3 linked regions of the Arabidopsis thaliana genome follow. The protein of the gene in region 3 interacts with the protein of the main gene of each other region in a pairwise test. Each region holds a gene or a part of one and is shown on either strand. Other genes may lie near its edges.

The links.
Region 1: the proteins of NF-YC11 (region 3) and NF-YB13 interact in a two-hybrid assay, tested with the Arabidopsis thaliana proteins (one large-scale study listed by BioGRID).
Region 2: the proteins of NF-YC11 (region 3) and AT2G47890 interact in a two-hybrid assay, tested with the Arabidopsis thaliana proteins (one large-scale study listed by BioGRID).

Annotation. Positions count from the first base shown.
Region 1 is NC_003076.8:7,745,177-7,754,771, reverse strand, and holds NF-YB13 (nuclear factor Y, subunit B13), read right to left. Parts: upstream 5,743-9,595; 5' UTR 5,495-5,742; intron 5,431-5,494; exon of another isoform or gene 5,390-5,430; 5' UTR 5,382-5,389; coding exon 5,327-5,381; intron 5,173-5,326; coding exon 5,083-5,172; intron 4,997-5,082; coding exon 4,833-4,996; intron 4,740-4,832; coding exon 4,569-4,739; 3' UTR 4,160-4,568; downstream 1-4,159. Other genes in the region: AT5G23100 (MIZU-KUSSEI-like protein (Protein of unknown function, DUF617)), read right to left, coding at 382-1,215; TGH (SWAP (Suppressor-of-White-APricot)/surp domain-containing protein), read left to right, coding at 5,883-6,017, 6,666-6,756, 6,833-6,927, 7,144-7,247, 7,328-7,389, 7,512-7,580, 7,725-7,864, 8,093-8,168 and 4 more.
Region 2 is NC_003071.7:19,601,471-19,612,011, reverse strand, and holds AT2G47890 (B-box type zinc finger protein with CCT domain-containing protein), read right to left. Parts: upstream 4,017-10,541; 5' UTR 3,768-4,016; coding exon 3,297-3,767; intron 3,219-3,296; coding exon 3,057-3,218; coding exon of another isoform or gene 2,976-3,056; exon of another isoform or gene 2,974-2,975; coding exon 2,702-2,973; coding exon of another isoform or gene 2,698-2,701; exon of another isoform or gene 2,630-2,697; coding exon 2,536-2,629; 3' UTR 1,725-2,535; downstream 1-1,724. Other genes in the region: TLP3 (tubby like protein 3), read left to right, coding at 66-245, 342-816; AT2G47885 (uncharacterized protein), read left to right, coding at 6,644-6,781; AT2G47880 (Glutaredoxin family protein), read right to left, coding at 6,580-6,888; AT2G47870 (Thioredoxin superfamily protein), read right to left, coding at 8,362-8,673; SETH6 (Phototropic-responsive NPH3 family protein), read right to left, coding at 9,924-10,502.
Region 3 is NC_003074.8:3,953,864-3,964,624, reverse strand, and holds NF-YC11 (nuclear factor Y, subunit C11), read right to left. Parts: upstream 6,863-10,761; 5' UTR 6,561-6,862; coding exon 6,528-6,560; intron 5,791-6,527; coding exon 5,718-5,790; intron 5,627-5,717; coding exon 5,533-5,626; intron 5,215-5,532; coding exon 5,080-5,214; intron 4,992-5,079; coding exon 4,934-4,991; intron 4,836-4,933; coding exon 4,347-4,835; 3' UTR 4,153-4,346; downstream 1-4,152. Other genes in the region: HCHIB (basic chitinase), read left to right, coding at 641-1,100, 1,577-2,124; CYSB (cystatin B), read left to right, coding at 2,749-2,949, 3,195-3,414, 3,534-3,679, 3,965-4,102; AT3G12470 (Polynucleotidyl transferase, ribonuclease H-like superfamily protein), read left to right, coding at 7,840-8,502; AT3G12460 (Polynucleotidyl transferase, ribonuclease H-like superfamily protein), read left to right, coding at 9,202-9,930.

The sequences.
Region 1 (9,595 bases), on a different chromosome or scaffold from region 3:
CTCGGTGCCCTCAATTATAACATTAAACATTTGAAATAACAACAAAAGATTACAGATTTAATTAAAACGAAATTTATACATTTACAAAGTCCTCCAGATCCCATATACCAACTTTTAAAAAACCTCTAAACCCCTCCCAAAAAAAAAAAAAACTGATCTAACACGAAATCGATTTAATCGATCACATTCACATCTAATCCGAATTTGCAATAATAGATACGTCGTTTTCGATTTTAAGTATTAGACATCGACTTACTTAACCACTTAACCGACTAATTAAGTAATTAAACCGGAAAATCTTACTAAACCATGAACCTTCCTTTTTTGACGAAGAGGCTTTTGTTGAGTCATCTTCTTCTTCATCGATCATCGTCTTGTTCATCAGATTCTGAGTAGATAGATACTAAGCTCAGGAGCTCCATTACTATCAGGATTCATCATGTAGAAGGCTTCTGAATCACGCGACCCAACAATTCTCTCGAATTTCGCCCTCATATACATTATATCTCCTCCGCCGCCGCCACCACCGCCTATCTCCTCCGTCTCTGGTAAGACTCCGGCGCCCATTGAAACCATCTCAAGAGCTTTCAAAACCTTTTTCTCCTTCTCACCACACTCTCTCCTCGTAGCAAATCCACACTTTTTCCCGTTACAATAAGTTCTCCACATCGGCTCCTCCACCAACCGCCGTGAAACCGCCGCCGTCGTCGTCGTCTTCGTCTTGTCTCCTCCGCCGTGACGTAAAGTTCCGTTTTTTTCTTCTCCTTCTTCTTCCTCTTTCCCCTTATCACACTCCAAAGCGATTCTAACGAGTCCTGAAGCCATTTCTTTGACTAACCCACTAATCGGAGTAGCGAGTTCGATTAAAAACGCCGGTGGAGAATTAGGATCTTTCTGGATAGAGAAATGCACGTGACCACGACGAGACCCGAAAAGTGTACCCACGACCCGTGACCCGAGCCCGGAGTTTTGGTTACCGGGTCGTGCTCTGCTTAGAGTAGCGATAACTGACCGGAGACGAGAAACGGCGAAAGATTGAAGCTTTTTTTTGTGAGTGATTACATTAGAGGAAGATGAAGATGAAGAAGAAGAAGGTTTAGTGTTGTTGTGATGAGGAAGAGGTTTATGAGAAGAAACGTCGTCGTTTTCGTCTGATCCGACTTTTCTTGTCCAGTGGAAACTATTGTGTCTCTTGGAGGCAAAGTCTTTAGCCATTGAAAGAGAAGCTAGAAGCTCTAGAGAGAAAGAGAGAGAGAATGTGGTAATGATCAAAGTTGTTGGTGTGAATTTAACTTGAGGGTTTGGTCTATTTGGTGAATATAACTCTCTTTATCTCACTTCTTCTCTTTGCTTTTGTCTCTCTCTATCTCTTGTCGTTGTGAGTGTGTTGGTGTGAGAGAGAAGATAATACAATTTGACAGAGAATCCGACTGTGATTGGACCCACCATTTTCATCTTTGTAGAGGATTTCGGAAATCAAAATTTTAAAGTAAGAAAAAGAAAAGAGAAAAAACAATAGTTTCTGAATATAAGTGTAGATTTGGCTTTTGCTTTTTAGTTCAATATTTAACCATATTAGAGTAACCCCATCGGTTCAAATAAGTGATATCTTGTCTATATCTTAATTGATAAACTGATTAAATTTAATAAAAACAGTTAAGATTAGCTAAGATTTATATCTTAACTAATATATTTTCTTAAGTTTAAGAATTGGACATGTGCGGTGTATTTATTGGGTACACAAATAAACAAAAGGAAAGAAAAAAAAACCATTAGAACATAAATAATTTAAATTTTTTCCCTTAAGAATTTTTTGCTTCTTAACCATTGGAGCATAAATAAGTTAAGATATTTTTTTAACTTATCTTAACTTTGAAAAAGCAAAATTTTAATTTTAAAAAAGATTAAGATCCAAAATTAAGATGTTTTAACATCTTAACCATTGGGGATGCTCTTAGGTGTTAAGTGATTCAGCTTGGGATTAGTTTTAGACTTTTTAGCTCAATTAGTTGCTTATTCTAGAGATATTTTTGGTTTTTTTAAAACGGATTATGCTCAATTCTTGTTAGACAATTTGAAAATGTAAAATAACTGATTCTATCAAGTAAAGAGGAGAGAAATATTTTTTCTTTCATTTACATCTTTATCTCTTCCATTCCTCTCAACACCACCAATAAAACCTTTTGCCAATATGAATTTAATAAATCTGAGCCAAGGCAAAATATGTATTTAGGAGAAAATATATAAAAAGTATAAATATACAAGAAAAGCTTGGTGCTGAATTTTGTAAATGTTGATTTTTGTTTATTTTAGTTATATGAATGGTTGATTCAGTTGTATTAATATAAAGTTAAGAGAATAAGTGGAGAGGAGGATTGTGTTTTTGTTGAATACTTTGGGAGAAACACGAGAAATGAGACAAAAGAAAGGAATCTGGGGACAAAGTGTGTGTGTTGTTTCATTTTCTATGTGGGGTAATCTACAAAGACCCTCAATTTTGTTTGACTCAAAAACCCTTTTTTTGACTTCAATCTTTTATACAGTAAAAAAAAAGAGTGGAGTGTTTACCAAAATATAGTACATTTATATCAAATCCTTTCTTCTTTATATCAAATCTTTATTGTACATATTATACAATCTCTAATCATATTAAAGATTCGTAGATGATTTCAAACTTATTTTCAAATCAATGGACAGGGAAAAAAAAAGTAAAGATTAAGTATCAAAAGCAACATAGAATATAAACATTTCTAAATTGAAACAAATGCAAGTGAATTGTTGAACCTCTTGTACTCTCTATTTTTCCATCTCACTTTTTGAATTGTATGCGGTTATTAGTTTTTTTTAACCATGTTAAAGCAAATAGTTCTGAGAACTGTTTTTCTAGTTGTTGGCAGTAAAAGTAAGATTTTTTTTTCCAACTTTTCCTGGTAAAAAACGCAAGACAATAATTTGGCACAAGCGGCTTGACGTCACTATCCTTATATTACTGTAACAACACTTACTAATACGAAACTTAAATCGTGCATGTTAGATAATATAGTAATTAGTACACATATTATCCATACAACCACTACAGGTTTCCAACAATCCGTCATTAAAAAAAGTTAAACATACAACAAGACTCGATATCAATTGGTACATGGATACTTAAGTTTATGCTTTATAGATAGGTTCAAGTAATTGTCTAACACTTATAGTATGGTTTATCATGGAAAGATGAATGTATTCAATTATACAACTATTCATTAATAGTCTCGATTCAGTACGAAATATTCTCAAATAAAGATTGGTGTGACGGGCCATTAAGAGGAATACAACATTCGACAGGCTTTGTCTTTGTATATCAAAGAATAAAATCATACTGTTATAATAATACAAAGGAATGTATAATAATGTTACAAATAAATACGTAAGTTATATAGTTAGGATCAATTGACGTCATAAATAGTAAGATATGAAATAGGTCTGTTCTGATTCTCTTATTAGTTGTCGGGTGCAGAGTAAACAGAAACCTGCGAACTGACACGTCACTCCGGTGATGGTCCTGCTAGTACCTTCCCCTTCTTCGACTCTCCCTCACTCCTCTTACCTTTTTTTTTGGGGTCAAAAGTCATCCTACCTTTTACAGTATATACTTTAATTAATGATGTCATAATTCATCAGTTTATGTACATTTTTAGTAAGAAACTAAAATATTAATGAACCATTTGTCTTTTGCTTTGTAAGGAACTATATATTTAATGAACAAATCAGTTATTTAGTACGAACAGATTAAAATTTGAGACTGGGAAAACTAGAGTCTATTAAATAATTTCATCAGTTTATGTTTTTTCTACTAATGACAAAGACAAAACATACAAACCAAGTCAGTTTTCCGGTTATCAATTAACCGAAGTATTTCTTCTAACTGGTTACCGAAAAGAAATTCAATTTGGTTTGGTTTTGGTTCCTTCTTTATTTTCTAAAATCGGTTCGTAATCATTTGCGAAACCCGATCAAATTTTGGTAAAAAACGGTCTAATAATGGTATAATCCGTTCTTTAAGAAACAAATAACTATCTGAGAAACCAATGTCGAACCGAACCGAAATTCGCAGGTTACTGAAGGCAAATTGAAAGTACGCCAATCGGTTCAGCCTAGAGAACCAAAACCTAGCCGAAAACCAAAAATCTATGTTTGGCTCAGTACAGTATTCTCGGTTCGCGTCAGAATCACAGGGCAAATGTTAACAACACTAAACAATGATTGCATTGTGTTTATGGAAAAACAATTACACCAATCACCAAATTTATCCAATCTACAAACATTAAGATTCCTGTAAGTCATCGAATCAGATGCTTTGTGTAGACCTGACCCACCATGCTTAGTCAAGACACAAGTAAACACAAAACAAGGAATGCTTACTAATTACATCTGAATCACAAGTGTTTTTAGATCGTGAAACACTAACTAACATATATCATACTAAGAGCATATAAACAGAGAACATACGCATTTGCAACTTACAAGGGAATGTTAAAAGGATGTTGTTTTTTCTTGCCTAACACTTACCCTTACGGTTTCAGTTAGCTTTGCGGACTTCTCTGGTCAGTTTCTGGATGTTCAGGTTGAGGAACCGAAACACCTCCATTCATTCTTGCACGTGCTTCTGCAAACATACGTTGTTGCTCAGCTGCTGCTTCCTCCTCAGTCATTTGAGCTCCAGGGTTCCATTTCACGCTCCTCTGTGTGTCCTGCTATAGAGTCACAAATGTAGGAAACGGTTAACATTAATCGTTTTTTCGTCTCCTCGTTATCAAGAGTAGGAGAAGAAAGTAGAGAATCATTACCATTGTTTCATACTTATGTTGCTCATACGCAGCATAGACTTCTTCAATGTATTCTCCAAAACCAAGAACCTGTAATGCCTTGAGAACATGCTCAGGAGCAATCGTCCGTTTATCCTCTTTGTTACAAACATCATTAGATTCTGAAGATACAAGATTTATAAACTCTGCAAAAAATGTTTTAAACCACAGTAAGAAAACCAAGAACTCTCACATATATAGATGAACTCAGAGAGAAACTATATGATCTTACCTACACAACATTCAATGAGAAGATCTTGAGCATCTCTTGCAACACGAACATCTGGTGGTAACATCTCCTTTATAATTTTAGTCATCGTAGCTAAAACAATAGAGAACAACAAAACATATTCTTAGCAAGATAATAAAAAAATGAAGTTTATGATGCTCATGAATCCTATAACCTTCAAGCAGAGTTATATATAGCTAGGTTTACAAATCCTCCTATTTAATGATCAATGAGCAATAACACTAACCTTTTGGAAGAGAAGCGTCTTCCTTGGATTTGCCGACTATATCCATTGGATCCATAGTTTAATCTACAGAATTCATCAGGTTAAAGGTGCTTGTACACGAAGATCTGCATAAAGAGCAAATCAAGGGGAGATCGGAAAAAAACGAGAAGATAGAGATAATCGACTCACCGTAACTGAGTCAACACGAACCAAATCGGAAAGTAGACGAGTCGCGGTGAGATCTGGCGCCGGGAAATCGATCGGATTGTACGGAATATAATCGGAGGGATTTTCTCTCTCCTTCGTCTTCTCTAGCAGAGTCGTTTAGGGCAAACGGAAGAAGCAAAGCGCGTGAATCACACTTTCTTTTACAACGCTTAGAGACGGCGCGTGAAGATAACTTTAACTTCCTTATAGCAATTGGATTTTAAAACAAAACTAATGGGCCGAAAAGAGACCCGAACCAGGCCCAGATATCTCCTCCATAATTCTCTGATTCTGCTTCTTCTTCTTCTCTCTGGGACTCGTTCAGAATCTCGAATTGCTGCTGCTCCTCTCGGTCTCGGTGGTGAAGACAATGGGGTCAGACGAGGAAGATTTCGTGTTTCATGGAACGCCAATAGAGCGCGAAGAAGAAATCGCAAGCCGGAAGAAGAAAGCAGTCGCTGGGGCTTCTGGCAATCTTAGAACTCTCCCTGCTTGGAAGCAAGAGGTGAGTTTTTCTTTGATCTTCTAGTTCGTCTATTTAGTTGCAGATGATTAGATAATTTGAGCTTCGAGAGACTCGCTTTGGCCATGAACATGGGAGTTTTTTCGTTGTGCTTGTTTTCGTGATTCTAACGTATTGTAGAGAGCTTAATAGGTTTTATGTCGAGTAAGGTAAGGGATAACTTTGAGGCATTCCCGTTTCAGCTTAATCAGCTTGAAAATTTGTGAGTATCCCGGAATGAAATTAACCTTAAGCAAGAAAATCGAAGTGAATGTCTCTACTGGAGCTGATTTAATACTCAAAATCATGCTAGACAGTTAGATTCTGAGTTTTTGTTATTTGCTGTGTTTGTTTTTGCTTATTAATGTATCTATGGATAGTTATTAGATTGATTATCTGCATTTAGGTGTTTGCCTTGTAGGCATTTTGAAATATGTATTTATGTATGTGGCATCTTCCTTGGTCTCTAATTGCAAACTAATTGAAGCAATCTGTGATGAAAATTTGTGTCCTTACTAATGGATGCATGATATTGCAAGAATTCGTTGTCCAGCTTTCCACTATGAGTTTTTACTGGAAATAAAGTCTATCTGTATATAGTTGTACTATTATGTGGAAAGTTGCTAACATCTCGAGTTTTACCATACTCAGGTGACTGATGAAGAAGGCCGTAGAAGGTTCCATGGAGCATTTACTGGTGGATATTCTGCTGGGTATTACAATACAGTTGGATCAAAAGAGGGTAAAGTTTACATTACCTGATTTTCAAAGGCTTTTTTATCTGTGCTATGCTGTTTACAATCTAAATCGTACTTCAGGCTGGGCTCCACAGTCATTTACATCATCAAGGCAGAACAGAGCTGGAGCGAGAAAGCAAAGTATTTCAGACTTTCTAGATGAAGATGAAAAGGCGGTATGTTTCATCTTTTTCTCCTTGTTAGATCTGTTAAAGCTTTATTTCGAGTTATTTTAAGCTTGTCAAAGTTTGATTACCGCATATTGCATGATTCTTCTGTTACTTTTATCAATGGTAAAATGGAGTGTGGATTTGGGAATTATATTTTGCTCTGTGGAAGATGTGCACCATATTTAACGATGTTACACCATTCTAAATCCTTTTCCATTTTAGGATATGGAGGGCAAATCACTGTCTGCGAGCTCACAATTTGACACATTTGGGTTTACGGCAGCCGAACATTCCCGCAAGCATGCTGAGAAAGAACAGCATGAGAGGTCTGTGTACTTATCTGTAGTCTGTTTTTTATAAGAAGTTGCTATCTATATATTTGTAACATATTGTTTCTGTATCACAGGCCATCAGCCATTCCTGGCCCTGTTCCTGACGAACTTGTTGCTCCAGTTTCAGAGTCAATTGGTTAGTTTCAATAAGCCTCTTTAATATTTTGCAAAAGTTCCTTTTCTTTCGTTTTCTTTATTTTCGAATGCATCAAGTGGAGAAATCCTGATCTCACATTTATGCTTCTTTATATTTTTCAGGGGTCAAACTTTTGCTAAAGATGGGATGGCGGCGTGGTCATTCAATAAAGGAAGTGCGTGCCAGTTCAGGTTTGAACTTGTTTAACATGCACTAATCCATAATCTTCTTTTGTGCACCAAGAAAAGCCGTCAATACTTTTTCTATTTTGGAAATTCACAGCAAGCTCTTTATTTCGTCTCTCTCTCTCTCTCTTTTATACCTTGTTGGTGCAGATGCTCGTAGAGAAGCTAGAAAAGCATTCTTAGCCTTCTATACTGATGAGAATACAAAGGAAACGCCCGACTCGCTTGTTTCTGAGACTGAAGTGGAAACTTCTCTGGGTGAAGATATTAAAATTTCTGAAAGCACTCCTGTGAGTCAATTTTCCTGTTTCTCTTTTCAAACGAGCTATATGTTGTTGATTGTAATCGCTACTGGTGTGATACTTCTATTAGTCATACTTTTCTTGAACTTCTCTTCTACTTTTTATTAACGTCGGACTGTGAATACTGCTTCTAATCTGCTGCTGAGCTTCTTCAGATATTACCCTTAGTTACATTGATTTTGATGATATCCTTTGTTCCCCCTTTATCGATTGCAGGTATATGTTCTGAATCCAAAGCAAGATCTGCATGGATTAGGATATGATCCTTTTAAGCATGCTCCTGAATTTAGAGGTACCTAGTTTGGACTTTTTATGATGTTTCTGCTGACAGGGCATTCTTGGTCATTGACTTGCTTCACATTATTCTGATCTGTAGAAAAGAAAAGATCTCGCATGTCTGCCAATAAGGAGGTTGGTTTCAGAAAACCTTTATCAATGAAGGAAAGTCTTTTTGGACCCAAATGTAAGATTTTGACTCACCATTTTTTCTTTTCTTTCTTGTTAATTTTCTCTTCTTTGCTTAAAGATACTTACATGCATCTATAGCGTATCTCTATGCCAGCTTTTACTTGGCATTCTTGTTGCGTGAAAACTACTTATGGGTTTTGTTAGTTACTAACATGAGTTGAACAATCAGCAGGAAAGATTGCTCCGGGTTTTGGCATTGGAGCACTTGAGGAACTTGATGTTGAGGATGAAGATGTCTATGCTGGTAAGGACAGAAGTGCAATTTCACTAATCATGGTTTCTTTGTTCATATATGCATAAGTGTCTGTTCAGGTTGAACTATTATTTATTCTAAAGATTACAAACCATTGTCCCACAGTCGTTAATTTAAAGCTCCTGTATGTTGTAAAAGTAATTTGCTTTTGTAAAAGAATAATATTGGTTATAGGTGTAAATACTTTCTTGACAATTTGAAGTGCTAGTTTTGGATTTATCAACCTCCTGTTTCTCAGAATATGCTGCAATACCAAAGTGTTTTTCTTTTCTTTCAGGTTACGATTTTGATCAGACTTATGTCATAGAAGACGAACAGCCAGCAAGACAGAGCAATGACAATAGACTGAGGTTAACCTCAAAAGAGCATGACGTTCTGCCAGGTTTTGGAGCTGCTAAGAATTCTGACTACAGTATGGAGAGGTAATGTTTCAATGATTCACAAACATGAGGACATTGTTAAATCAATGTCATCACACAATTGCATGTCTAATAGAGCTCTTACTCTCAGAATTTTCTGATTATGGCTACTTACATTCAGATAGTCTAATTCATATCATTGTGTGTTTTGTATATTATATCAGATTTAATCCTCCGATAATCCCGAAGGATTTTGTGGCCCGGCATAAATTTTCTGGTCCTCTTGAGGCTGAAACTAAGCCAACTGTTTCTGCTCCTCCGGAAGTTCCTCCTCCTGCAGATAATAATCTGAAACTTCTGATCGAGGGGTTTGCAACTTTTGTTTCCCGTTGCGGGAAACTATACGAGGATCTTTCTAGAGAGAAGAACCAATCAAATCAGCTGTTTGATTTTCTTCGGGAAGGTAACGGTCATGACTACTACGCAAGAAGGCTGTGGGAGGAGCAGCAAAAGCGTAAAGATCAAAGTAAGCTGACATTAGATGTTAAGGTGTCTCCAACCGTACAGAAAATGACTGCAGAAACACGTGGCAGCTTATTAGGGGAAAAGCCATTGCAGAGAAGTTTGAAAGAAACCGAT
Region 2 (10,541 bases), on a different chromosome or scaffold from region 3:
AGATTGACCCCATGGTTTTTTCATATATTTGCCATAACCTTTCTCTTATCTTAACTTTCTTTCAGATCTAACTTTCTGGGGACCAAGTTCACTGTCTATGACGCTCAGCCGACGAATCCTGGAACTCAGGTTACCAGAACCCGTTCAAGCAGACTTCTCAGTTTGAAACAAGTGAGCCCGAGAATTCCATCTGGCAACTATCCTGTAGCACATATCTCATATGAGCTTAACGTCTTGGGTTCCAGGTGATTTATCTCCTTGCTTACAGATACATTGTGAGATAAAACGGTAGTTGCTTAATATGGCTTTTGCTAATTGTGAACATTGTCGTATCATACCAGAGGACCGAGGAGGATGCAGTGTGTCATGGATGCCATCCCTGCATCAGCTGTAGAACCTGGAGGAACAGCTCCAACTCAGACGGAACTTGTCCATAGCAATCTTGATAGTTTCCCCTCATTCTCCTTCTTCAGGTCGAAATCAATTCGTGCAGAGAGTCTCCCTTCTGGTCCATCATCTGCTGCTCAGAAGGAAGGACTGCTTGTCCTGAAAAACAAAGCGCCCAGATGGCACGAACAGCTCCAGTGCTGGTGCCTCAACTTCAATGGGAGAGTCACAGTTGCTTCCGTCAAAAACTTTCAGCTGGTAGCTGCTCCTGAGAATGGACCTGCAGGACCTGAGCACGAAAACGTGATTCTCCAGTTTGGAAAAGTCGGAAAAGATGTGTTCACAATGGATTATCAGTACCCTATCTCTGCCTTCCAGGCCTTCACCATTTGCCTCAGCAGTTTCGACACCAAGATAGCATGTGAATGATTAATTCCATCAAACCCTGTGACTCCGTGTTTATTTAGTTGTATCATGTTGAAAGAGAAGACTGGTTTGGCCTCGTCTTAGAAGTGTGTGTACATAGTTTCAAAAGTCTTGGCAAGTCCATACAAGAGAAGAGTCAAGAATCGAAGACAGTAGATTGTGTTTGTTGTTGTTGTTGTTGCATTGTGTTGCTAGTGATTGTAGTTCCAGACTATGATTTCATTTCTCTGATAATTAATTTGATCGTTTTTTGGGTAATATATATCCACACAGAGCAGAAATTGAGACATTTGAATTATTATATTTAAGATTGAATTTGACAAACATCTGCAATATCCTATACAGAGATAGCTTTAATATTATTCGAGTGACCAATGGAGTCAGATGTGGTCAATAATAGGGTGGCAGAAGTGGCGGTCCTTGTGGCGGTGGGCCGCCAAAGCAATCTCGTAGCAGCCAGCAGCAGCACAGACAAGATAGACTGCAAGATTCCACAGTCAGACTAACCACTTAACTCTTTACAAAACACATAGCAAAACAGAGAATGTCTTTACCAGGAACATATCATGTCGGAGAACCCAGAAAAGAAACCACCAATGGGTGGGAAGAAGCCTGGTCCTCCCGGTGGCAAGAACCCTGGTCCTCCGGGTCCTCCTGGTCCTCCGGGGCCCATGACAGATCTCTGAACAGTGTGGTGAAGATGTCTCCAAGGGATTTAGCGCTCTTAAGACAGGAGAATAAACAGAGAAGGGCTCTTATATACAAGTTTGTTGGGGCCTAATCTTCAACGTCAACAAACAGTAAACGAAGAGTGAGAGATGCAAAATTGCTTCAAGCTGCAACCACTCTTCACCAAATGTTCAAATCCAAAAATATTAACAGTAAAATTAACCATCATTAAAATAAAGAACTCCAAGTCAGATTCATATTTGAATTCTAAGAAGAACATAGAGAATATAACCACAACTCTGATACATGATTTAGTGCTTACTGATTGCTCAACAAGTAAAACCCACTCCAGATTCCTTGTTCAACCAAAACTTACTTTACTTCTCAGATTATCATTGGGACAGATTCATCGTAGCAGGAATGATCTGCCAAAAAGTGTTGTCATTTTTTTTTGTATTTTTATACTGCCTCAGATTATTATATATTGGTAGATTGCAAATAGTTGTTGCCGCGAGCCCATGCCTTTGGATGTTTGTCTTCATCGGCCATCCAATTTCATCTGAATAAAAAAACAAGAGTGAAAGCTGCGACGGCAGCGGAATTTCTGTTTCGCCGGCCATCGGGAAGAGACGCTTTTATATTTGGGCTTTAAAAGAAAATGGCCCAAACATGCCAACCTATATTGGGTTTACTATGTTACAACTTGAGCCCATAATATCAATTACATCAAGCCCTTCTTGCTCCATGGATCTTTAATGGGTCCAATCTCACTTTCTAACATTACAACAAGTTCTTTTGCTGCTTGCTTGTCTTGAGATTGTATATAACTGTGAACCATGTTTTGTTCTGTGCTCGTCCATGCTTGCCCTTTGGCAAATTAGGAATCGGAGGCAAAACAAAAAAAAAACTATTCTTAAGTGACAATTTTGAGAGTGTGGTCGATATACAGTGATAACTCCTAAGCTTAGAATACAAAAACTTATCTGATCATACACACTATATGATTCGATTAATACAAAAGATTTTTGATTATCAAAGTAACCTCATCATCATTCATGGATCTGCTGCCTTGGCGAAACGTCCCCTGATTCTTGTCCTGCTTTCTGCACGAACCTTGCGTGATTCATACCTGATGTGTTTCTCGTACCTGTTTCATCAACACATGATTCAAATCCCAATCCTATTGGTGGTGTCTCACTTTTTAAATTAGCTTGTTTACCTTCGAGACTTCTTCTTTTCTTTGTAGCGAGAGAGAGCAGAGTTCCTCTCAAGACTGTTGATCTCATGTGTCATCGACCTTGTACTAGTGATAACCGGAACCATCACAGTCTCTTCCTCACATCGGTTTAAGCAGCCGGAAACGGGAACCATCACCGATGACTCTCGGTCTACATTCTCAGGTTTCTCATCTGACTCCGACAAGTTCTTTAGCAGAGAGCAATATGGAAAGTCCTCATGATCTTGCTGATCGAACCATTTCAGTCCACTCTCCTTCATATTGACAAGAGAGATTTATAAGCTGGAAAATCATTTGACAAGCACAAGAAAACACAACCAATAGCAGTCTCTATTACCAGCTCGCATGTAGAAAACAAATCCGGCGCTAGGAATTGGAACCCGGCATCGATCTCAGCATCTGGGGTTTCAAATTTCAGACAACCAGGCTCAGATCTGGATAGTCCACGGAGCTGTCGGATCATCTCATCTTTGTATTTCCCGCAGGTGGCGTGACGATTCTGGAGCATTTCAAAACATTTCAGAGAAATATAAAAACCGAGCAATTGGCTCGAGAAAAAAAACAGAGCAAGTTATACCTTAGGCAGAGGAGGAACATCCGTGGCCCGGAAGTTATGAGTACCCGACCCGCCCGAAACAATAAGGTCGTTGAGGCTAACGATCTCAGGTGACTCCCAAAGCAATCCGGAATCGAGAGTGAGGTCATCGAGGCCAACGATGGCCAGCAACTCAGGCACGGAGGGACAGCCGGTAAATCCTTCAAAGGGTCTGCGGCTATGAAGGGAGGAAGAGGCGGTGTGGTGTTGCCAGTCGCAGTTCTGGCAAAGAACAGACCTTTCAGTCTCGCAGAAAAGGGAAGAGGGAGATTCGTTGCAGGAGTCGCAGAGAAGTGACCTGAAGTGTTTGGCGAAGAGTTGGTTGGCGACGTGGACTTGCTTGTCGCAGGCGAGGCAGAGCTTGGCGGAGTCAGCTTTGCAGTAGACAAGAGCCACGGAGGAGTCGCAATAGTCGCAGAGGCGGTCACGCTGATGACCTTCTTCTGCTTCCATGGGAGGAGCTTAGAGGAGACGACGCCGACAGTTTTGGTAAGAAGAAGAAGTTGATCTTTTCTTGGGATATTTTGGGGCAACAAAACCAAATTTGGTGGCTTATGTAAAAGCCATATCTTAATTGCATTCTAGGTAATGAATGACGTTAAAGTGACGACATATTTGCTTAGACAAAGTCAAATACATTTTATTTCTTGGGGAAGAAGCTGGAAACCTACACTCTCTTCACCTTCCCGTGCCTTTCTTTACTCATCTCTCTCACTTAACTCGTGAAAAATAGCTCTCCATTTTTATATATTGATTTTTCTTGATATATCGGATTAGCCTAGAATTTAACATAATATTTTGGCTACCACATATATAATATACAGTACTTGGTTAGATTTTTAAAAAGTAAATAAGATCATAACTAATGAAGGGCTCAAGAGAAAGAGTTAATGAAGTTGACCACGAATACATCTCTGAAGATTTTTTAAACCGGGACTAGTCCAGAAAATGGACGTGGCAAATTAGGGACGTTAGAAAAAGGAAGCTCGTTGTTGAGGCAGCGTTGGCCGATTTGATTAACTTTAAAGAAACAGACAAACGAAAAAAAGGACTTTGTCACGTTACCGACATAGCTAGAATGCTCGATACTGAATCTTTTCTTCTTATATTTGTTTTTTGTTTGCCACTATGTATATTAGGTGAAACGGAAATGGATCCCACCATTAATTTTTGATATTGAGTCCAAATCTGCTTATCTCCACTAATACCTCATCATCGTTCCTCGATAACTATTACTCCATGAAGGTAGTTTTCAATTAGAGTTTCCGTACTGAATTAAACCTATTCAAGATTAGCTAATACCATGCATAGTTTGACTTTTAGGGCACGATGGGGAAAAAGAGACAGGATGGGCAATATCTAACATTCCAGCGACACTAATAACATGATCTCGACAACTACTGCCCCTACTTCTCTTGAACAATAACACATATCACAAGATAATCTAGCTAGGTTGCTTTTCCATCCTCGTAACATACTAACATGGCTATAAAAACTCATTTTTCAAAAATCGAAATTGATTCTGAAGCCTTTAATAAAAATACACACAACTAAACTGAAACCAAATGTTCTACCATTTCACTTTGGTGGACTAAACTATTCGCATGAGCTACGTTCCTTTTTTAATTTTTGATTTTTTAAAAAATGGTCCACTTTCCAAGTAATCATCGGTTCTCGATATTTTCTTGGACACGAATCTTGAGCCTATAGGTGGATGCTTTTTTCACGCGCCGGTCAAAGAATCTTGAATCTTATAACAATGACAACAAAGTGAATATGGTTCTTAGTTCTTACACGTTCTGTACAACTTCCGATTAGATTCTCCTATATATTTCCCACGATCCCAAGAAGTTGGAGGTCAAGAAAAGTTGTTCCACACATCATGTAAAGGGATTCTACCTTTATTATTTCTTTTCGACCTTTTGAACTCAGTATAATCATATTTTCTTCAAAAAGAAATCTTCAAGGTCTATATACTACTATATAACTATAGAGGCTTTTACACGCTTCTTTTGATTGGAGAATCTTGAAGTAGTTGATTTTGGTAACTTTAAGTAACTAAAGGGAAATAATTATGGGTAACATATATAAGCATGCAAAGCGTAAATGTCAAATCCATTATTTAGTAACTAATTTACGTGCTTAAACCTGTGAGTAGAGTTTAATCTCAAGTGATAAAAAGCGGAACTAAGGAGAATAATATGCTTCGTTATCTATAAAGCTGATGAGAGGATCGTTAATGTACCGTATATAAAACAACTATTCATATGATTCGTTAGTAAAAAAAATTGTATTTTTTTCTTCTAACATTGTATGTTTTTATTGATTATGAGCATATATGTTTAATTTACTACACGAGCAACTAACGAAAAAACAAAGAGTTCATATATATAAAAAGGTGTACAATTTTTCATTAGAAAATAATAGTAAATTAAACGTGAAGATACTCAAGAATAAAGGAACGCAAAAAGAGCAGTGATTTTGTGTAGCCATGATATACTTGGACCGCGAAAGATCTTCCATCCTCTTCCTCAAACTGCTTTAGTTGCATTAGGCCACTGGTATCTTATCATTGTTTTTCTTCTTACCAAATTTGTATGGTGGAGACTAATTAAGTCTATTCTGATCTAATATTTTTCACATTCGATTTATATATACTCTAATGGGCACTGATTTATCCTTGATTCAAAAGTACGCTCTAAACACAACATCACAAAGGCTAAATCTGTATATCGCCCGATATAATGTTAACTATCAATAGGTCTAACTAATAATGATGAAGCCAACTTATACATTACATCTTGATAATTAGAAGACGAGTTCATGCATGTGTTGGCCATTCACATTTTTATTCTAGCTACTGTCAGTGTATGTGAATATTTCTAAATAAGAAAATGGTTTGTGTGTAGCCTCCTTCTGATACCATGTTAAAAACAGACAAGTATAAACGGTTTCTTGCCTTATTATATGGAAAGCCCTAAATTACTCAACATACACAAGAGATCGTTACTAATTGTGTGGGAAAAAATGTAAAAGTTTCAATACTATTTTCATTAGCATAAACAGAGAGTCATACATCAACATACACCAGTTGATTAACTAAACTGAAACACGAGAGAAGCTAAACAATAGAACATACAAACGATAAACATTAATTCAGACGAAGTCCTCACTGAATATCTAGCTAGCTCACACTCTAGCTGTAACTGTGTTTATTCTCACTAGCTAATAATTAGATATTATATATTGAGTTGGTTTAATTTTGCTAGTAAAGGATGGACTGATAGGGTTTGATCAATGGGACAAGAGAGCCACTAAGGTGAAGGGACATGACTTCATTGGTGGAGCCAACAAGCTTGCCTCCGACAAAGACAGCTGGAACCGCCGTGGAACAGCCGAGCCGGAGAAGAGCCTTCTCGATCTCACGGCAGTCCGGGTCGTTGTCGATCTCGTGGATGGTTGGTTGAACCCTAAGGTCACGGAACAGGATTTGAACGGCGTAGCAGAGACAACATGAGCTCTTCGTGAAGATCACCACTCCTTTCTCTGAAGACATTCTCATCACTTTGTCCATGATCCTCAGAAGTCTGAAGATCTGATGATGGCTAGGGGTTTAAACTTTAGCGTTTTGATGTATGTTTTGTTTTGTTTTGAGTATGTAAAAAGCTTGACATTTGCTCGCCTATTTATAGGAAGGGAGTGAGTCTTTCGAGTGTGTTTTTTTCTTGCTAATTAGAAAGAAAAGACCATTTAAAATGTAGTTTATTTCTAAGAAAATATCAAAAAGGAAAGATAAAATATCAGATGCCTATTTGAGAATTTTTCTTCTTATTTATATTCTGTTTGACTGCACAAGTTGCAAACATTACTCTCACTTCTAAGTTATTCAATTTATTTTTATTTCTACGGTAACGCTGCAGTTGTTTTGATCGTCATAACATGTTGATTAGTAATTTACGAATACGATTCGAAAAATTGTAATCAGTTTCACCTTTTTGTGGGTTAATAATAGTATACGCATTGCCAGTGACATAAATATAATTAATCTAAATAATAAGCACATGCATGCATGGACTAATTGATGAAATAAGTATGAACGGAATGCATATGATAGTAATTTTGAAACACTAACATAGATATGAAAGTTGAAGCTAGCTTATCAAATTGATTACAACAATGATAGAAATCAGACGATTTCTTAATAACTTTTGGCTAAGCGATTTTCTTAAACTGCTGATATTCAAATCAATGTGACAAGAAATATAGCATGATTAATACCCCTAGAAAAAGAAAAGAGGCTTGTCAATTTATAATCTAACGGATTCTCTCAACATATCTCCTTTGATTGAGTCATTGCGCAAAGTGAGGATAAATGAAAAAGATTGGACCTTTCGGTGATAAACATGTATATATATGTATCAACAATATGCATCGTACATGGTGATTCCGCCAACACCAACTTGCCAAAGAAAATTATTCCATCTTTCTTTTTTATATATTCTTCTTTCACACTTACACTAATGTTTGATTCACTTCTCTCGAAATGTCTTTCTTGCCGGACGCACGCGTGAATCACACGCATATGTTAACTCTGCTGCGTCATTCTTGGCTTACTTTTCGATTGTTTTGTGGGTGTAGTAATCTTTTCATGAGCGAGATTCTCTTTTATGTTTGATTCAAAAACGATCATATATATACTAGTTATAGCATAGTTACGTTCGATATTCATTTGTATATCGGTTAGGTATTATACTACGTACATTTTTTTCTATAATCGGAAGATATTATGCTAAATCCAGATGATATTCCGATATTAACAGAAATCTTTACGTGATGATTGATTACAGTCTAGTTTCTCCGTATCAACTGATAATTAATCTCCACGAGCATCGGAGCATGCATAATCTTCTATATATATGGTTACTAAAAGTATAATTCAATATTCATGCAAGCTTAGATAAATATATGTATGTATTATTCACGAGATGACATAATATGAACTAGTGTGTGTAGAATAAATGATAGTAAGAAGCGTGATGATATGTAGTCACAACCATATGGCGTTAGAGGCCTTTAACATCTGCTTGAGGGAGCCATCCACGTGGAAGGAGATGACGTCTTTAGCTGAGCCGACGTACCTTCCTCCTACGAAAACCGCAGGGACAGCAGGGTTAGACCCGAATACCCGGAAGAGGGCCCGTTCCATGTCAGGGCCTTGCGGGTCCTTGTCAAGCTCATGGATGGCAGGACTCGCCCCGAGTTCGTAGAAGAGAGTCTTGATGCTATGACACATGCAACACGAGCTCTTCGTGAATATCACAGCCGCCTTCTCCGATGCCAAATCTCTTACTCGTTCCATCGACGATGTGACAAAGAAGTGTTAATTCGAGGCCTTGAGTATGGATGATAAACAAGCCGATCGATCAAACTATTATTTATAGCCCCGCCGCATTCGGCATATATTTTCGGAAAATGAACGCGATCAATTATATAGTTTGGTATGTTATCAAAAAAGGTAAGTTGTGTCGCTTTCGGTCTGCGACAGGCAGCAGCATCACATACCCTTGACATTTGTTTATACATCACAATATATAGTAGTTTTTCTTTGGAATAAATTTATGGACAAAAAGCTGAAATTTATTGTTTTTTTTTTTGTAAGTTAGTTATTCAAACGTATAATTTAAAATGATAATAATATACAAAGGTCAAAAGCAAAAATCTGGTGTTGACTGGTGTGGTGTTTAAAAATGTCATCTAATAAAAAAAAAACATAGGCTTTTTGTTTTTGTTACAGATTAATAAAGTAGTAATTATATAGTTATTTTCATTACATCTAGGTACGTTTTGGCCAACCTGTTAGAGAGGGAGCCAAAATACTTTTCTAGTGTGGTCACAGCAATTGAGTTGTGGAATCACCAACCCAAATTCCAAACCAAGACTTGATTTCATCCTCTCTTTTTTCAAGATATTTGTCATTAATGTATATATTCCCTTACAAAATATCTCACAGGTAAGGTAGATATATTACCTTGTCGAGGGGATCCAACGACGTGGCAAACGCAAGGACCAGTCATGTTAATTAGATTCTTTTAGTTCAAATCTCGACGTCCATAGTTCTTCTATGTAGGTCGTAGATTATATTCTGTTTTTTTTTTTCCTGTCATCACAAGGCGTTGACACTTGACATAGTGCAAATTCTCTGTACCTATAAAGCAAAGATTAGGCCCGTGAGTAAAAAAAATCTCACAGTTTTTTTCACGTCTAATATACTCCGGAAGATTTGTAGTGGGCCGTTGAGCGCAATGAGATATAATATATAGGCCTACTAGAAAAGGCCTAGAAAAGTGACAAAGGGATCAAGACTTAATTCTTGCCCCATTGAGCTGGAAACAAAACTAGAACAAAATGTTTTCCGTTAAGGGTCTTCTTGATCCATATCAATATATCATCATCAACGAACAGTATATACAAGACAAGCTTTACACACTTGGGAATGTATTATGCAACTCTAGAATCTGTAAATTACAAATTTACACACTCAAATTCACTCTCGTCTTTTCTTTGTTAAAGAAATATTACAAAAGAGTAGAAGAAGAAGAAGCAAGCAAGTCAAGAAACAGAGTGACATCTTCTCTTCTGAAACATGAATCGTCTTTCCGAATTCGTTTTCTCCTCCGTATGCTTTTTACCGCTACTGGCAACACTTTGGCTGCTCCTAAATCTCAAAACGATTGCGTTCAACTTGTTCAGACCTCTCGAGAGCTTCCTCAACATTCCATAACGCCTCCTCCTGCTCTGCGGCTTCACGAAGTCTCTCTTCATCGATACATGATCTTTCTCCAGGTCCGTTAGCCTCATCCTCATCCTGGCCACCTCTAGTCTCAGCTCTCTGTTCTCTCTTCTCACTGATGCATAGTTGTCCCTCGGCGAGATGGCTCCGCTTGCCATCCCGCTTCCCGAGCGGTTTGGGAACAAGAAGAACTGGCTTTGGTTCGAACCGCCTGTGCCACCGCCGCTGGTCATGGCGTTCTTGAGCCGTGTCTGTTCGTAGAACAGGACTTGAACCGCAATCTGAACCGGAAGTCTCTCGTTTTGCGCCGCGTGGCTGCTTGCGTCCTGCGACAGTTTCTTACAGCTGACTGTCTTGCAGAGACGGTAACGTTCCGAATCTTTCATGTGGGGGTGAACCTAATACAAAACCGTAACACAGCAATCAAAATCATACAA
Region 3 (10,761 bases):
CGCCGCCTCATATTCATAATTAAAGTTAAATTTTGTTTTTGTCAACATTGATCATAGTTAAATATTTAGACACGTCTATTTTTATTTTCTCCACGTTATACATTTTCTTGACTATTCATGCAACTCTTGTGATCTTGTCTTAGATATAGTCAAGTATTGTGTATACATCATAGGGAATATCCGAATATGTGTGTGTTTGATTAATTAGTGCACACTAGCTCAGATCATCGATTAGTCCGCAACTCGAGTAAACGTGTTTTCAGACCACCCAAAATTTTACGACCTTTGTGTCCCACTATCTACGTCGATAGTAACTTTAGAACAAAAAACTCAAAAAGAGTGTAATTTGTTATGCTTTTGGTCTTCTAAAATTTGTATTCTTCTACCAACATTTAGCACAGTTTCATACATAGAAAGTTCTCATTACTTGGAATTAACATGATAATCCCCCAAAAAAACAAATCAATATCTAACCTAGCAACAATGACGGAAGGAAAATAAATATAATCAAAAACAAACCTACCAAATACTGTTTGTTCCCCATAGCCACACTCCATAGACATAACAAACAATAAACTATGGAAAAAGATAGAATTTGATGTGATAAAACATTCATTAATTGGATCTATATATATCTTTCATGCCTCCACAAAAAGAAAACCATAGAACATTGAACAAAATGAAGACTAATCTTTTTCTCTTTCTCATCTTTTCACTTCTCCTATCATTATCCTCGGCCGAGCAATGTGGTCGCCAAGCTGGAGGAGCACTCTGCCCCAACGGTCTATGCTGCAGCGAGTTCGGCTGGTGCGGTAACACCGAACCATACTGTAAGCAGCCTGGCTGCCAAAGCCAGTGCACTCCCGGTGGTACTCCTCCTGGACCCACCGGCGATCTTTCGGGCATCATTTCAAGTTCTCAGTTCGATGATATGCTTAAGCATAGGAATGATGCCGCTTGTCCTGCTAGAGGTTTCTACACTTACAACGCCTTTATCACCGCTGCAAAGTCCTTCCCCGGTTTTGGCACCACCGGAGACACCGCCACGAGGAAGAAGGAGGTCGCCGCCTTCTTCGGCCAGACTTCCCATGAAACTACAGGTACCCAAAACTCATTAACAATTTGACGGAGATTGTTTCAAAACACAATTGCTAAATTTTGGTGTTTATTATTAAAACATCAGAATTTGAAGTTCTTTTTTTCTTCTGTAAAGAGTTTTGGATCCAAGTGCTCATATATACAAAGAACTACTATACTATATATATATATATATATATATATATATGTTTTATTGAAAAAATTATAGCTTCTCATATTTAGAAACGAAAGAAAAAAATCAAACAAAAACGCCAAACGCAAAGAAAAATGTTTTGGTCTTAGATGTTTGCGTTTACAATTAAAAAACTATTTTAAAAATATGAAATTCTTGATTAATCTAAACGCAAATAACCAATCAAGGAACTTACGAATATTCCAGTTTCCAAATTATACACTTTTGAATAATGTCAAGTTTGTGAGTTGTGACTATATATATAGCTATATACTAATTAATTAAGTGGACGGTTACGTCGTGCAGGTGGATGGGCTACAGCACCAGACGGACCATATTCATGGGGCTACTGTTTCAAGCAAGAACAGAATCCTGCTTCAGACTACTGTGAACCGAGCGCCACGTGGCCATGCGCATCTGGCAAACGCTACTACGGAAGAGGACCAATGCAACTGTCGTGGAACTACAATTACGGTCTATGCGGTAGAGCAATAGGAGTTGACTTACTCAACAACCCTGACCTTGTTGCCAACGACGCAGTGATCGCTTTCAAAGCCGCGATTTGGTTCTGGATGACTGCTCAGCCTCCCAAACCGTCTTGCCATGCCGTGATAGCCGGCCAGTGGCAGCCTTCAGACGCCGACCGTGCCGCCGGGAGATTACCGGGTTATGGAGTGATTACGAACATCATTAACGGTGGATTGGAGTGTGGACGTGGCCAAGACGGGAGAGTCGCCGATCGTATAGGGTTTTATCAGAGGTATTGTAACATATTTGGTGTTAATCCTGGTGGTAATCTTGATTGTTACAACCAAAGATCCTTCGTTAACGGCCTCCTCGAAGCTGCTATTTAGTAACGAGAGTATTATTATTATAATATAATACGCAGCTTTGTATTATCAAAACAATAATATCAGACTAATAAAACTCTTTCCAATGATGTTTCACTGTTTATGTTGCGATTTTATTTCCCATGGGCCTTTTTTAATTGGGCTCTCTAGCAGATGAGAGAAAGACGAAGAAAGGTGCATAGATGTTTTAAACTTCGATTACAAGTAAAGGTGTTTGACAATTTCTGTGTGACTCTGCCGACACGTTTCGTATAACGTGCCGCTATCCTCAGCAACGTTTTCATGTGTAATCCAGATTGGTATGAATTTCTATTTAAAATGTTGGTAGCTTAACCGATTGAGGCCAAATCAAACCAATCTATAACTCGAATCGGTACTCTTTTCTTACAAATGATTCGATTCAATTGGCATCCAATCAAATGTAAACCTTTTTTGTTTTAAATCGTAAGAATATTTTCATAAATCAGAGCCTAAACTTAAAACTGTACCAACAAAACCAACATCAAACCAAATGGACACCTTAATCCGGTACACGGCGAATTAACTGTAGAGGATAAAATCAACAATTCGACGAGTAAAACGAAAAATATCTAAAAATACAGGGCACCGAACCAAATAAAGGTGAGAATGATGAGAAGCCGTTTCTTACTCTTCATTGTTTTCTTCTCTCTATCCCTCTTCATTTCCTCTCTGATCGCCAGTGATTTAGGCTTCTGCAACGAAGAGATGGCTTTAGTCGGAGGTGTTGGCGATGTCCCTGCTAATCAGAACAGTGGTGAGGTTGAGAGCCTCGCTCGTTTCGCTGTCGATGAACACAACAAGAAAGAGGTTCCAAATCTCTCATCATCTTCGATTTTTTCACATCTCTCGTCTCGATATGTGTGTTTTATGCTATTATAGTCTTGATCCAGAACACGATTAGACTAATTTTGTCCGGAGTTTCTCTATTGATCTCAATTTCAGTTACCAGCAGATCTTAGAGAGTGTATATTATTCGGTGATGAAATGCGTTCATGTTGTGGGATTGATTGATTGATTGATTTTTTGGTTTGTTCTGTCTTTGGTCGTCGTAGAATGCACTTCTTGAGTTTGCGAGAGTTGTGAAGGCGAAAGAACAAGTTGTAGCCGGAACACTGCATCACCTGACTCTGGAGATTCTCGAGGCAGGACAGAAGAAGCTTTACGAAGCCAAAGTGTGGGTCAAGCCGTGGTTGAACTTTAAAGAGTTACAGGAGTTCAAGCCTGCCAGTGATGCCCCTGCTATCACTTCCTCCGATCTTGGCTGCAAGCAAGGTGTGAATTTGAGTAGTTACTGATAAGAACATTATAATGTCAGGGGATATATATGTAGCAAGTCAGAGATTGTGGGTTAGGAAAGAGTTTGGTTATGAAAATTGGGTTTTGTGGATCAGGTGAACATGAATCTGGATGGAGGGAAGTTCCCGGAGATGATCCAGAAGTGAAGCATGTTGCTGAGCAGGCTGTCAAGACCATTCAGCAGAGGTCTAACTCCTTGTTCCCTTATGAACTTCTGGAGGTTGTGCATGCTAAAGCTGAGGTATGGCTTTAATTTACTATATACTCTATCTTCGATCTTAATTGCACAAAATGAATTTCAATAGAGAACTTGTCAGATTTTGACAATGTTTTTGCATGAATTTCATCTGAGAAATTGCAAATAAACGAAATCAAGTGTCAGTGAAACCGAATGGTGTTGAAGTTTTAGAAGTAGAAAAGACTTTAAGCAACATATTGGTTCTCCTTGGTATGAGGACTAACGTCTGAGTTGTAATAGTTGGTGATTACAAGATTAATGAGCTTAATATTAAAAACATGGACACAGGTAACCGGCGAGGCTGCAAAATACAACATGCTACTGAAGTTGAAGAGGGGAGAAAAAGAGGAAAAGTTCAAGGTGGAAGTTCACAAGAACCATGAAGGTGCTCTTCATCTCAACCACGCGGAGCAACACCATGACTAGTCCCTCTCCTTTGTTTATGTACTTTTGAGTGTTTACTTACTCTGTAAGATATTTTAACTTCTGATGTAAAACTCTAAAACCTTAAATAACAAATCAGGAGAATAAATTAAGTTTCATAGAGTGCATGCAATCTTTGGTTCATACAATAAATGGAAACAGGAGAAGATTTTGATGACAGAAGAAGCATTTTCTAGACAAACTGCTAAACGCTGCTACTCTATATATCCTATAGTGCTGTTATGACTTAGCCTTCTTCGTCATAATCTTCCTCATCCTCGTCTATCCTCTTACCCAGACTAGCAAGCTGTGCTGGATCCATTTTGCTTATGTCCATCATAGGCCAGCCCGAATACTCCTCAGAGTCTGTTGCTGCAGTTGTGGTTGTGGTTGTGCCTGTGGCTGGTGCCAGTTTGGTCTCGTTTAGGTCGAGGGATTCAGCGTTGAGATCAAAGTCAATGCCTTCTTTGGGACTTTGAAGGTGTTGCTTGGTGTCTTCGTTCGATGCTGCTGTGCCGTCGATGCCTTTCTTCTCATCCTCTTGTGGTGATGACTCTGACGCATGCATCTTGACATTGTCTTCTGGTGGTGGCTGTCCAGAATTGGCGGCTTCTACTTCCATCTCGCGGTTGAGACCCTCTCTTTCGGCTGCTTTTGCAGCTCGTCCACCACGACCTCTTCCTCGCCCTCTTCCTCTACCACCCCTGCCACTGGTCTTAGCACTCCCTATCTCTTGCTGCAGTGATTACCAATATATTCAATGAATCTAAGGAGCTGGGAATAGACACCAAATGAATGATGAAGTATAATATTTCAAGAAGAACACGAGCTCACCGTTTTGCTTTTCTTATATTCCTCGTCACTGTCATTCACTTCATCGCTGATGGGCTTCCTGTTTTGATAAACCATCTCACATCAGCTTGACACGGACTATAAACAAAGAACTAGAACATATGGAACTAAGAGATCAAACATCCAACCTTCTCTTGGAGATGCTGCGATCATCCATGGTAACATCACCATGTCCTTGCCCTTGGGAATGGCCATAGTCAGGCACCTTACTCACAACTTCCCTCAGAAAATCAAACACGTTATATCTTTCCACACAATGTTTTCTGTAAACAACAAAGCACTTTGATAAACATGGATGAGCAAAAATAAGAACTTTATCCCAAATTTGTGGTATAAAATTCTGTAACAGTAAACAACATCCTCTCGGTGTTGGATGCAGTGAAAATAGGCCCTATGAGTTGGAAGCTATTCCGCTTAACAACATCATGTTAACTCTTAAACCACAATATCAATAATTACAACATCTGAAAGCTCTAGAATTTAAAATGCATTCAAGTGAAACCTTTCATGCTCTTTAGATAATGACGATGCTAGCATGCAGAGTTAAAGCAAAAATAAAGGTAAACCAATCTGTTACTTACAGGTGCAATGAGCTCACAGTCTTGGCACCTCTTTCAAGGGTAATTTCATATGTACGATCACAAAGGTCTTGCAAGAACAACTCCAAAGATTTTGCTGTAATAAGAGAACATGAAATTTAGCCAAAGGGTAAAGTTTCCAATAATTCTCTTTTCAAACTGAAGTCAATGATAGCAAGATGACTTACAGACTAAGACAGGCACTGCCAAAGCTATCTTGCCAACATCCTCATCAGCTTGCATAATCTTTTTAATACGAGCCTGAAAAATTGTAATATATGCATCAAATGAAGAAACAGCAACCATCACACAGTGTGTGTGGCAATAATTACAGACTACTAAACGAATTATAAAGCAAATGGTAGAACTGAGAAACACCAAGCACGCTCTGTACAATCACCAATCAGATTATACAAACAAAAATATATTAACAAATTAAATGGAAAGTCAAAATCTGTGAAAAACTAATATTCTAGCCTCAGCTCAAACAAAATAAACCACCATCAACAATAACCAACTTATGAAATCATCTGACGTTTTATTCAATAAAGCTAAACAAAATCTAGCTAGCCAAATTGGAAGCTCTACAAAAAGTTCCAAGCCTATGAAAAAACAATTCGTGTATAACATCCCTGCTTCAATCAACACTATCTAACCAATAGCTGACTGGTTTGTTGATAAAGAACACGTTTCGAGCACTAGTCACCTAAATTCTCGAATTCTCTAATTTACATGAAACATTCCATAGCGGATCTTCATAACACATATTACTATAGCTATATAACAAGCACAACAAAAATTAGGGTGAAATTGACTACTAGGTCATTTGCTAAAACTAATTCGCCAGAAATGAGATACTTAATCTAATTTTCATCGTAGAACACTAATCTAATCCCAAATAGTGTTGGAAATTCGATCTGAAAAACAACAGATCAAAGTAATTTCCGAGAAATTGGACTTCAATTTCAGAAATGATCAATTAGAGACGAAAAACTTACAGCTGGGAACCGAGTATCGAGCTTCTTCCTCATGGTTTTGAAATCCCCAAATCCAGAAATCGTCGAATGAGAAAACGCAAAGCCACCAAAAATAAGAAGGAAAAAAAGGTAAACCCGACCCTTGAGATCAAAAATTGAGGGACGCGAATCTTCTGTACATATACTCCGTTCTAAGATCAGAAAGTAAGTTTCTTCGTCTTCTACTTCATGGATATGCACTATCAGATCCGGCGACGGCGGTTTCCTTGTTACAATCTCCGTGCGATGGAAAAATTAAAATTAAATATATATAATCAAATTAAAGTTTTGGGTCAAAGAAAAAAAATGGGTCGACGACATGGTTATTTAATTAAGTAATGTTAGTTATAAATATACGGCGGAGCACAAAATATAATCGGATTGTTTGAAAAGATCTAACCATACACGTGGCTATGTATTAGTGGATTGTATACGTTTTCTCGTGACAGTATTAATTCTTAGATCTTCATCCACCTTCTCTATTTTTTATTTATTGGATTTTGTTTGAGGATAATGCATCCTTGTAAGTTGTAACACATATGCCTGAACCAAAAAATATGTTTTGGGTTACTTTTTTTTATCACAATTTAAATAAAATAAAGTTAGAATTATTTGTCTTCAAGTTGAATTTAGATACTTATAAACCAAACTGTCGAATTTTAGAAAAAAAAAACAGAAACCACCTTTATTATAAAGTGTGATAAAACAAAGTGGCCTATGTATCCAAAGTTCCAAACAAAATGTTGTGGAATTTATATTTACAACTTTTTTATTTTTTCAGAAGTTATATTTAAAGTTACAAAATTTTGTCAAACCAATATATAGGAAAAAATATCAAGAGTAATTGCGTCATAGCGTTATACGTTGAAAGTTAACTTCATCAGTAATTATGATTTTACATCAGTGAATCATTGTTCGTGAAAAAAACACACAAAAAAAGGTTATGGTTATCTACCTAATTAAGCCCCCAAATAACTGAATAAACTATTTTAGTAAAAAGAAGTACGTAAAAAAGTATTATATTCCATGTCTTCATCAAACCTTTATGGAAATAAAAATAAAAATTCAGAGCCGTAAAATACAGTAATTAGTAAATGTTTTGCGTATACATCTATGATAGGCCTGACGATGTGACAGTACATGCATCTCCATTGTCAACCGTACGATTAAAACTACAAAGATCGACGGTGATTATAACTAGAAACAAAAATGTACCCTATAACAAGAAAAAGAAACCGCTTCTCTTTCTAACACTCGCTCAAAAATTTAGAGAAAGGAAGAAGAAGACAGATCAATGGCTCCGACGATCAAAAGAATCAGAAGTTTCCGTACTCACCAAAAACACTTTGTCGATTTTTTCGGAGACGACTTGATCGTCACCGTTACGCCGACTGCTTCCGTTATCCGCCGCTGGATTCGTAGCGTCCGCTCCTACAACCGTAATCACTCGGTACATCCTCTCGTCGTTGGAATCGGTGTTCAGTGGAGACCGGATAGTTCCGATCCAGATCCACCACCAAAAACTCTCCAGTTGTGCGTCGGTAGTCGCTGTCTCATCATCCAACTAGGTTACAATTACGGTCTCCCAAAAGTCCTCCGCACTTTCCTTGCCGATCCCAAAACGACTTTCGTCGGCGTTTGGAACGGCCAAGACCAGAAAAAACTCGAGAAATGTAGGCATCGAGTGGAGATCGGGAAGCTTCTGGACATAAGGATGTTCGTGAGAGATTCGAGAGGGGCTAGGATGTGTTTTTGTTCGTTTGAACAGATCGTGAAGGAGCGTTTGGGTCGCGTAGGAGTGAGGTTAGATCCGGCGATTTGTATGAGCGATTGGGGCGTTTATAACCTTAACCATTATCAGGTACTTCAGGCGTCGATTGAGTCGTATGTTTGCTTTAAGCTCGCTGTTGAGGAACGTCTCTGGAACTTAAAAGTTGCTGCTAATCTTGTGATTTGAATTTGTTGTTGTTCTTCTCTCTTTATCAATCAACGTCTTCTTCTAATTCATGAAAGTTTTCATGTTATCGTATTTTGTGACTATGAATGTTGACTGGAAAATTAGTACATGTAGACTACGTTTGTAATAAAGGCATTGATATTAAAAGACTATCTAACGTTTTGATTAAAAACAAATACGCTTTGATGAATTATATTATCAATTTTGTTTAATTTGACATGGGACAAAAAAAATCACGACGTACCAAATTGGTCAATCAAATGTTTTTGCACCCAGTTAAATGATTTCCGATTTTTAAACTGGATATAACCTCAAGCAAGATCAAGGATACGAGTTTACAACTGAGATGCGTTTATCAATCCTAATCTTGATTTAGGATAATACTAATTTTTAGGAGTATATAACATTAGCTAACGTAATCTGATAAACTATACTCAAAATATTCTCCATAATTCAAATTTCGAGATCTTTATAAGAAATTCTTTTTGAATTCAAATCAGTAATAACCATTAAGGTTTGGCGTAGGTTAATGACGTCACACTGCATCTCAACCGTCCAAATTTAACTGCATTTATTTTCAAAAAGATCAATGGTGATAGCGAGCACCAGTACTACAATTTAACTAGCCTCCGACGATTGCAAAAGGAGAAGAAAGCAGTTTCATCATTATCTCTGCTTGAAAAACTGAAGGCAAAATCAATGGCTCCGACAATCAGAACCATCGGATCTTACGCTACTCAGCAAAGGTACTCAGTCGATTTCTTTGGAGAAGAGCTTTTCGTCACCGTAACGCCGGATCCTTCCGTCATCGGCCAATGGATTCACGACGTCTTCTTCCACAACCGTCTCTCTTCTCACCCTCTCGTCGTTGGAGTCGGCGTTCAGTGGACACCCTCTGGTTACCACCCTGCTTCTCCACCGGTTAGTTATCGTTCCGATTCTTCTCCGGACAGTTATCGCTCCGATTCTCCACCGGTTTTCTATAGCTCCGATCCTCCGGCGGATACTCTGCAGCTATGCGTTGGTAATCGATGTATCATCATCCAACTCCGTTACTGTGAACGCGTCCCGCAGGTCCTCCGTAATTTCCTCGCGGATCGAGATAACACGTTCGTCGGAATTTGGAATAGTCAAGATGCAGGAAAGCTAGAGAGATCTAGACATCAGTTGGAGATTGCGGAGCTTATGGATTTGAGGGAATTTGTTTCAGATTCGAGTGGACGGAGATCGATGTATAATTATTCGCTTGAGAAGATTGTTGAGGAAAATTTAGGTTATCCAGGAGTGAGGCTAGATCGAGAGGTAAGCATGAGCGATTGGCGCGTTTACAACCTTAGCTACGATCAGATTCTTCAGGCGTCGATAGATGTTTATGCGTGTTGCAGCCTTGCTATTCTAGACCATCTGTGGGAAGAAAAGAATCGGTAAACGTTTCAATTAGAATCTAATGTTGCAAATGTTTGAATCTTTTCCTTTTTTGGTTTGTTATTACTTATTAGAGAAATAAATCTTATCTCGTTTGTTCGTTGTGGACTTGTGAGTGAAATTTCCCTTCTTTTTTAAAAAACTAGTAGTTTATTTCTTCCATGAGTATTTTGTAAAATACAAGTATTATTTTATTTTATCATAAGCTAAATTTTATCAAAATAAGGAAACGAACTTACAAACGCATAGTGCTGTGCTAAATATGTTTCCTACTTTAATTTGGATCTAATGCTTGCTATGTTGAGTTTTTCAATCCTAATCTTGATACAGGATGATACTAATATTAACTAATACTGAAATTATTCATCCTCCTTAATTCCCAAATTTCAAGTTTTTTATAAAATCTTTCTGAATACGAATCAGTAATTATTTAGGTTTGAGGTTAACGAATCAGTAATTGTGAGTTTGTGACGTCGAATTACTATGCACGATGTCACGATAGACTGACCCAACGATGCGAAAGGCTAACCTTTGCCTACATGCATCTTAACCGTCCAAATTTAACCGCATTTATTTTCACAAAGATCAAACGGTGACAAAGAGCACTGAGCACCAGTACTACACTTTAAGTAGCCTTCGACGATACAAGCAGAATCATTATCTTTCTATGCTCTGGTTCTCCAAAGTAAACGTAAAATCAATGGCTCCGAGAATCAGAACAATCGGAAGTTATGCCACTCAGGAAAAATACTCTGTCAATTTCTTTGGAGAAGAGTTAACCGTCACCGTAACGCCGGACCCCTCCGTCATCGGCCAATGGATACACGACGTTCT